2 linked regions of the Kluyveromyces lactis genome follow. The protein of the gene in region 1 binds, or shares a complex with, the protein of each later gene. Links are inferred from orthologs where the notes say so. Each region holds a gene or a part of one and is shown in the gene's direction. Other genes may lie near its edges.

The links.
Region 2: PHO23 (region 1) and SDS3 share a complex: the UniProt entries of both Saccharomyces cerevisiae proteins name them as parts of the RPD3C(L) complex. The link is inferred for Kluyveromyces lactis from reciprocal best matches to the Saccharomyces cerevisiae genes PHO23 and SDS3.

What each region holds. Positions count from the first base shown.
Region 1 is NC_006039.1:1,141,873-1,147,239, reverse strand, and holds PHO23 (Pho23p), read left to right. Parts: upstream 1-2,404; coding exon 2,405-3,580; downstream 3,581-5,367. Other genes in the region: alpha-1,2-mannosyltransferase KTR1, read left to right, coding at 1-95; CRC1 (carnitine:acyl carnitine antiporter), read right to left, coding at 335-1,321; Ras family GTPase RAS1, read left to right, coding at 4,064-4,078, 4,399-5,238. UniProt on the Saccharomyces cerevisiae protein: Component of the RPD3C(L) histone deacetylase complex (HDAC) responsible for the deacetylation of lysine residues on the N-terminal part of the core histones (H2A, H2B, H3 and H4).
Region 2 is NC_006041.1:773,435-777,436, reverse strand, and holds SDS3 (Sds3p), read left to right. Parts: upstream 1-1,392; coding exon 1,393-2,352; downstream 2,353-4,002. Other genes in the region: DNA-binding transcription factor CRZ1, read right to left, coding at 1-432; KTR5 (putative mannosyltransferase), read left to right, coding at 2,787-4,002. UniProt on the Saccharomyces cerevisiae protein: Component of the RPD3C(L) histone deacetylase complex (HDAC) responsible for the deacetylation of lysine residues on the N-terminal part of the core histones (H2A, H2B, H3 and H4).

The sequences.
Region 1 (5,367 bases):
GTGATGATTTCACTTGGAAATCTTACTCCTGTACTCCACAGTTCTACAACGTTAGAAACTTGAAGAAACCTGAGGGCTGGCAAAACTTCACATGAATTCAAACGAGGAGAAAAATATAACACTAACCATACATAAAATATACGTGTAACAAGAAACGCTTTTCTTCTTTTTTAGTCTTATAGGAGGACTGTGAAGGATCCAAGTCGGACTTTTTCTTCCTCTCAAGACAACAAACAGAAGGCTTTTTATTGTATTATATTCATTAAATAATTTCTTTCAAAAGAAGTTGTCGTAACGGAAGTGCATAAATAATATCATTATAGAGGGGTCCAGTTCAAATTGAACTAGTTTTTTGTTGCTCGAACTTCTTGAACAACGAATGGGTCAACTCCACTCCCAAGAAAGTGGCCGCATTAGCTGGGAATGATCTCAAAATGGCAGGTCCAACACCAGGGAAGAACCCTTTAATACCACCTCTTGTGTTGTAGATCATGCGCGTCACTTCAAGCATCGATTGACGCTTGGAAGATGATTGTAATTGTGTCTTCACAGTATCAATGGGGAACACTACTACCCACATAGAAACACCTGCCATACCACCACTGATACAAACGTTGGTAATTGACAACTCTCCTGAGGTATGTCCGCTTGCCTTATTCAAATATTCCTTGCAAATCTCATAACTGGCAAAGTATAACGCACTTCCTGGCCCATCACGGGATAAAGTCGCTAGAGAACCCTTGAATAGAGATTGGAAACCCTGTGTGCGCACTATCTGTTTGGCAGCATCCAAAAACGAAGCTTTACCCTGAGTAGTTTGTAAGACAACTTTAACACGTTCAGTGGGTGCAGTGACTAACGTAGTAGGAATTGCACTGATGAACCCTGCTGCTGCCATCTGTGACAATGTCAATTCTGGTTCCACTGCTGCGGCACCACTAGCCGCCGAAGAGGGCACACTCGTGACCAATTTTTTACCTACGTCATAACCCCAGAAGGACACAGCAAAGATTGGAGTAACACCCAATAATGGAGGGACCACACCTTTATAAAACCCACGCACTGCATTCAAAGAAGTAGGACCGGCTGCCTGACGTGCAGCTTGTAGAATATGTGAGACTGCATCCATGGCACTACGTGCTTGGTTTGATTGACATCTGACTTTCACCAAATCAAAAGGATGTCCGGTCAACACTGCACAAACACCTCCAACACCGCCTGCAGCTAATGACTTCAAATTTTCTGTTAATTGTGACTTTGTTTGGGAAACATCATTAACATGCGATGTTTCCAATTCAATTTCAATGGAGGCGTCACTCATTTTTCCCTTTTCAATAGTGTTCGTCGAAGTGATACTGTATATATATACGTTAGCTTTGGTGCACTTTGATCAGACCAATTTCATATACCTCGGTACTGAATGTTCTTCTTATCTAAGTGTATGCTTCAGGTTTGCACCGAAAGGCTGTGATTTATATATCTACGAAAAAAAAAAAAAACGTTTCTCTTCCTCATGAAAGTAATTAGCCATGATATTGCTGATCATTAACATCATATCATCATCATAATCATCAAACATTCAGGATTTTCTTTTGGTCCAGGATTGTGACTTTCTTGGTGAATCATTATAGTCATCACCAAAAAAATTCTCAAGTTAACGGACTTTGTAGAGATAATCTAGGATTGATACAAGGAATCAGTACAACATTTTGTGTGACTGGCCGTTAGAAATAGAATCAGCCCTGAATGCATGACAACAAATGAAAGAACAGATACTCTACAATTTAAGTACAAGGTCATGTGCTGGAACATCTCCAAATTCGCACGGGATCCCTGCGGCTGTTTCCCTGCGTGATCCATTCATTATTTCTGATACATATTCCCTTTTTACCTTATTTTACCCGATGCCGACAGGATTTAGTGTCAGCAAAATTCTAATCGCCTTTTTTTTTTCTATTTAGAGCGGGGGAAATGAAGTGACAAATGTGACACAGGTGGAAGGAGACAACAGTGAAAACAAAAAACATAAACAAAAGATTGCGGACAGGGTTTCACGGATGATCGTAATCAAACAAACCCCGAGCTTTCCATTGTATAACCTACTTAGAATCCAAAACGATTATTTAATACCAATCACGTGATAATAATTTTCACGTGATCTATTTTTCTTTTCTTCAGGTTCTCGCTTAGTCTTATTAAAAGCTTTGAATATCAAATTTATACCTTTTCTTTTAGGTCAGGTAACTAGAATTGTTTAGCATACCGGATAAGTGCACGCAATACAATTACATGTTGTATGTAGTGTATTGACATTTGTGTGATTCAAAAGATCTCTCAATCCAGTAGGAATCACAAGCTGTACTACATATCACGATAGCGAGACATAGACAATACAACTCAAGATATGGCAGCACCTGCAAATTTATACCCTGGTCTTAATGATATTAGTGATGTATTGGAAGAGGTGCCATTAGACGTTTCACGGTACATGACTCTACTCTATGAAATTGATGCTAAATGCGTTAATATAATTCCTGAACTAAATAAATGCATTAAAGGATTCCTTGGTGGGAGAAACGTTCCTGATGAGTCCAAGGTTCCTCTACGTGTGATAAACCAATGGTTTCAAGAGCTGATCCCGTCATTGGAAGAGAAGATGCATGTTTCATCTATAGCCTACGATTCTTTAGAAAGGTTAACGGACAGGTTGGAATTAGCCTACGAGGTTGCTATTTCCAATCAAGAGATTCCAGAGAAGTTAAGACTAGGTAACGATAACCATCCAGCGATGCATTTGCATCGTGAGCTTATGGCTAAGGTCGAATCAAATGTAATGACGAAGTCTCAACAAGCACTGAAAAGTGAATCCCGTAGAGAAGCCATGGCTGCAAAGAAGACAACTGGGGGAACTGCTGTTCAAGGTGGGAACGCTGCTGGAACGGCAAATTCAGGTTCTGTCGGATCCACAGCTGGTTCTACTTCAACTTCTGGAACCGGTGCCTCCACAGCAGTCGCAGGATCAGAACCAGTAGTTGCGGCGGTAGGATCACATGGAAATGCTCCAAACCAAGGAGCAAACACTCAAACAAATGGTCACAACCGCTCTTCCACTATGGCAGGTCATAAGAACGGAAATGCGCATAACCACAACCATAATGACAATAGCCATTCTCATGCAGATGATATACAACCAGCGAACACTAAGAAAAGGAGAAATAACAACGGGACAACTACTGTCTCAACATCTAGTTCAAACAATAACAACTCTTCTGCAAATAGTACTGCCGCACAAAGAAGGAACAAAAAAAGAGTAAACACCACGGCTGCTAACAATGGCGTTACCGGGAGTAACACGACAGCTGTAAATGCAGTCAACGCATCAAATAAGTATCAAAACAGACCAAAGATCAACGAATATGGAGAAGCACTGTATTGTTACTGTAATCAGGTCGCATACGGAGAAATGGTTGGATGTGATGGCGAAAACTGTCAATTAGAATGGTTCCATCTTCCCTGCATTGGCTTGGAAACGCTACCTAAAGGGAAATGGTACTGCGATGACTGTTTGAAAAAGAATTAGCTAGCTGCACCAACATAATATTTACCACCGGAAATAAATATAATATATATCACTGTCTCGTCACTCAGTTCATGATGCATAAATGCAAAAGGAAAAAAACCCTTGAGATATTCAACCTCGATCTCAGCAACTACTGAGAATATAATTGATCTGGTCAAGCATCATTTTTTTGGGAAATTCTATTTCCATTTCCATTTCTTGTCGAAAGAAATAATAATAAGCAAGCAGCAGCATCGTATTGATGAGAAAAAAAGGGTTCCTTCAATTCATGTAATCTGTCTCTTTTCGCATACTTACCGAATTTGAAATAAAAATTTAGAAAAATAAAAAAAATTTTTGTTGTACCTTATAATAATAAGCTTTGTTAAATTCTACTTATGTACGTTGACAACACCTATGCACAATCATTGCTCATATCATAGGGAAAAGAGGGACCTCGTTGTAGATTAAAATAGTGAGGGATTTACATTTGTACACTGCGAAATGTCGTTAAATAAAGTATGTTATTGTGTGTGTGCTGGAATATGGCTTCTGATCTCCTCAGTTTGTCTCTTCTTTGTACATTTCACTTCGTGGTAACATTGGGTCTTTGAGATTTGACAAAAGTATACTAACAGTTCAATTAAAATAATGTTCGAGTATACGTGATGCAATGCCGATGACTTTGTTGAAATATGATGATAAGGTGTGAATTTGCTTCCTCTTCAGGGGGTTTCCCTTTAATTTTAGGTCGTTAATTCATCATTGTCTTTCAGCACTGTCTGCATGTATTATTTGAACATTATTTTCTCTCTCGCAGCCCTGCTGTGACACCTTAGAGCAATATCAGAGAATATAAACTAGTCGTCGTTGGTGGCGGTGGTGTTGGTAAATCGGCGTTGACGATCCAATTAATTCAATCGCATTTCGTTGACGAATATGACCCGACTATCGAAGACTCCTATAGAAAACAAGCGGTCATTGATGACAAGGTCTCAATTTTGGATATTTTAGATACTGCAGGTCAAGAAGAATATTCAGCAATGAGGGAACAGTATATGAGAACTGGGGAGGGGTTCTTATTGGTTTATTCCGTTACGTCGAAAACTTCTTTTGAAGAATTGATGACATATTATCAGCAGATTCTAAGAGTCAAGGATTCGGATTATGTTCCTGTGTTTGTGATTGGTAACAAGTCTGACCTTGAGGACGAAAGACAAGTTTCTTATGAGGAAGGTCAAACTTTGGCCAAACAATTCGACGCTCCGTTCTTGGAAACTTCTGCAAAACAAAATATCAACGTCGAAGAATCTTTCTACGGGTTGGTTCGTCTAATCAGAGATGAGGGTAAGGGATTCAGCAGCAGTAGCGCTAGAGCAGATGCTGAAAAGGATAAACTTGCTAAACTGGAGAATCAACGCCAGGCTTCTGGTGCTACTAACCAAGGAACTACTGGCAAAACTAATACTAAGGCTACCAGTGGCGTAGCAAATGGTTCTGCGTCCGCAGGTGCCGCAGAAGATCAAAATTCTCAATCTAATGTACCTTCTAACAATAAAATTACCAATTCTTCTGCTCAAAAGAACTCTAAAACCACAGAAAACCAAAGAAAGACTCAGACTGGCTCTAAAAACTCTGAAAATGATAAAAGTGGTTCTGGATGCTGTATTATTTGTTAGATACTGAAGTGCCGGTTGTTTAATATCTTAATTACTTTCTCGGTCATTTATATTTCTCTATGTCCAATCGATCACCTCGAAAAAAAGCGAAGAAAACTACCAAAATGTCAAAGCACAATGTCCATACTT
Region 2 (4,002 bases), on another chromosome or scaffold:
GAACAAAAAAGATGGATCTGTGTTTGGTATATTCAATTCATGTGACACATATTTATTAGCATTTCTACCGTTGTTACGGTTGACGCTAGGTGGCTGCTGAAGCTGGGCGTTACTTTTCACACTGCGATTAAGCATATCGTGAGCCAGGACACCATTTATACTAAGACTAGGGATTGAAGGTGCGTTTTTGTTATTATCACCAGTTTCTTTCGAAAAGGAATTCGCGACACTGAACCCAAACTCCTTAAAACCTGACAGTATATCACCACCGAAGTCAGACAGCTTGACACCACATTTCCTACTATTATTCATCGCATTGAAACCAGGCGCAACCTTCGACCCTCGAGAATTGTCAGAATCTTCCGGATTTAACAGTACATTCGCACCGATGTCACTGGGACTATCGACATTCAAATAATCGTCAATATCCATACTGTTCTCTCAGTCAAAAAAAAAAACAACAAAAACAACTCGGAATACAAGTCTCAAAGTCAGGTAATATTATATCCAAAGGGGAAACCAATATGTTTTTCGAAAACTCTGTTCTCTGTTCTTTCTTTCCTATGAACTGGAAAGACTGAAAAGAAGAGCTTTATAAAATCGACACACTTATAACGTCGAAATTTAAAGTATTAGAATATTAGGGGTAGTTCAAAGCACCGCAAAATTCAGCGATTTATCTGTACTAATAACACACAACACTGATGTGTATCACAGGCTGCGTACCACTGTTTTATCTCTGAATTAGTCTCACTATTTCACTTCTATTCACCTAACAAAAAAAAAATCACATCGTCATTATATTATAACTTAACTTACTTTTTTTTTTTTTGGGAATTTTCCCTTTTCTTTACCAAAATTGCCAAAAGTTCAAAGCCTTTAAAAACTTTCAACACACTTAAAGCCTGCACTTATACCGGCCAGCTTTAAGCTTTTCTTATCTGAAGCTGCGACTTTTCTGCGGGGAAATGAGATGGAAAACGGAACATAAAAAATTTAAAAAAGAAAATGGTGATACTTGCAATGAATAAATCAGTGTTATGGGAGCATTGAGGTTCGAACGGCAGAAGCATGGCATTTTCTTGTTTGTCTCATTTGATTATTATTATTTTTTTTTTTTTTTTTTTAAATCAGAGCAGCTTAAGCAGTTGTACTTTGTACATACTTTATACATAATTTGTACATAATTTGTACCCAGCTCATACGTTGCACGATACATGTAACGAGCAGCACATTAACTCGTTGTGTTAACGTTTTCAATTGTAATTTTTTATTCTGTGTTAGTAATTTCACAGGATAATTGGTAAGAAACGATACCGGAGAGTTTTTCTGGTTTCACTTTAACAATTATATCAGCTTTTGCAGTAAATACAGCTTCTCCCCCCGAGGAACATGGATGAAGTACAATATTCTATGATGAGCAGCGGTGTGAAGAAAGGTCAAGGAGCGAAACAGAATGGGGGTGCTATTCCCGCAGGTGTTGGGCAGGATTTGAGTAGGAAGGATAAGAAGCGATTACAGTTTGAAGGGAAAGTGGGAAAGATAAGAACGTCGTTTGCAAAGGATAAAGATGTGCATTATAGGGATAGGTTGACTCTGTTACAGACAGATTTAACGACGCTGCATCAGGGGAATAACCCTGAATTTCTGAGGAAATTGAGGGATCTTGAAGAAGATAGGGATTTGGAATTAGTTAGGCTCAGGCTTTTCGAAGAGTACCGGATTTACAGGTCCAAAGTAGAGTTCCAAGAAGATATTGAAAAAGCCAAGCAAGAACATGAAAGGATGATCAAATTGTGCAAAGAGATGTTGTATGAATCCCTACAGAAAACTATCAAGAAATTGCAAGAGGAACGGCTACTTCTGGATGTAGCAAACACACAGTCTTATTCGATGGATTATTCTCGAGGGAAATTCCAGAAGCAGACTAGAAGCTCAACTCAAAATTCAGCCAATTTTTCGGCTTGGGATTCGTCACCGAACGATGTCAGCCAAACAGAAAGTGGCAATGAGACTGGTAATACTACCGATAGGAGGTCATTGCGTAGGCGTGCTGCTACTAATCAGAATAGAGCTCAAACTCCTGCAAACATTACACCTGCAAACGGAAGCGGGAAATCAAGCAATACTAATAGCGATGCAGAGTCGATGCAATATCTGAGCGATTCATCAGAATTACAGGCTTTATTGTTCGGAAAGGAAAAGGAAAAGGAAAAGAAGATGGGTCGAGGTCACCAAAGACTTTCGACAAAAAGCGCTCCTATTCTTCAATCTTTAACTCCGGATGAGGTTACTGATGATATATCTTTGATAAGAAAGCTAACGGGCCAAGTACCAGCCCCATTCAAATGAATATCAATAGTTGGATTTATCTTGTAAATCTGGTCTGGGGTACAAGTGAAGAAACTAAAATGTTACCAGTTTTTTTTTTCTGTCATCCAATATTTCCCAAACTGCTTAGGTCCCAAATACTATCCGTTATTGTCAGTCTTATACCTTGTATTTTTAGTGTATCTCATGTGTAATACTACTACTTTATAATACTGCGTATTTTTTAATGTATGCACAAAAAAGTGAACAGAATCTGAATTTTGATATTTCAGTTATCTATTGACGATGATTTATGCGCAATACGCGATCCATTTATAAACATAAACTCAACAGTCGATTAAAGTACCAAGAATATTAGTATAAAACCTCATTCTTTCATCTTCAACTATTGGGACGTACACATTCATCTTTTCCACTTTTTTTTGCATGATTACTGATAGTTTCCATCTTATCTCATGAGGAATAGAACCAGAAAGCTACTGATAGTGATAACAATTGCACTTCTAATTTGTGTTGGTGTACACCATATTGTGCGAACGGAAGAAGCTGCAATATGGGAAGATGCTGTAGTCTACTCCTCAGCGGATCGCGCCTCTAAGAAGGAACATCCCTTCTTTGAAGGGTGTGTGGATACTGCAGAATATCTAAATCACAAAAAATATGAACGACAGAATGCCACATTTGTGATGTTAACAAGAAACGAGGAGCTGGATGGGGTAATTCACACTATGAGATCTGTGGAAAGAAGATTCAATCAATGGTTCCAATATCCGTACGTTTTTATGAACAACGAACCATTCACTGATGAATTTCAAGAAAGAGTCCGATCATTAACAACTGCCAACATAACGTTTGCCCTTGTAGATGAGTCCTCATGGAATTTCCCTAAGGAGAACACTCCACTATTTCAGCATTACGTTGAATCCCAGGGTGATCGTGGAATTATGTATGGGAATATGGTTTCATACCATAAGATGTGCAGATTTTATTCCGGACTCTTCTATAAACACCCTGCAGTTAGGCAATACGAGTGGTACTGGCGTATTGAACCAGATGTGGAATTCTTCTGTGATCTAACTTATGATCCATTCTTTGAAATGAAGAAGGCAGGAAAGAAATACGGTTTCACAATTTTTATCAAAGAAATATATTGGACTGTGCCGAACTTATTTAGAGCAACCAGAAGTTTCATCAAGCAAAACGATATCAAACTCGGATCACTGTGGAAAGCCTTTATTAAGAATAGAAACGTTTTACTCGGAGATGATTATTTAAATTCCTTTGTCAATGAACTAGAAGAATTGAACGAAGAAATGACCCACGAATTTCTGATTGACTATTTGAAGAAGAATTGGGCAAGAGAAAAAGTCATAGATGACGAGCTAATACAAGAAATTGCTCATAGGGTCAGGAGGAAAGTTCCTGTCGTTGAAGACAAATTTGACCAAGAAGAGTACAATTTATGTCATTTTTGGTCCAATTTCGAAATTGCTAGAGTTGATGTATTTGATAATGAAGTATACAACAAGTATTTCGAATACCTTGAGTCGTGGGGTGGATTCTGGCAAGAAAGATGGGGGGATGCGCCTGTGCATTCGTTAGGTTTGGCCTTAACATTGAATGCAGAAGACATCCATTATTTCAGAGATATCGGATATCAACATACTACAA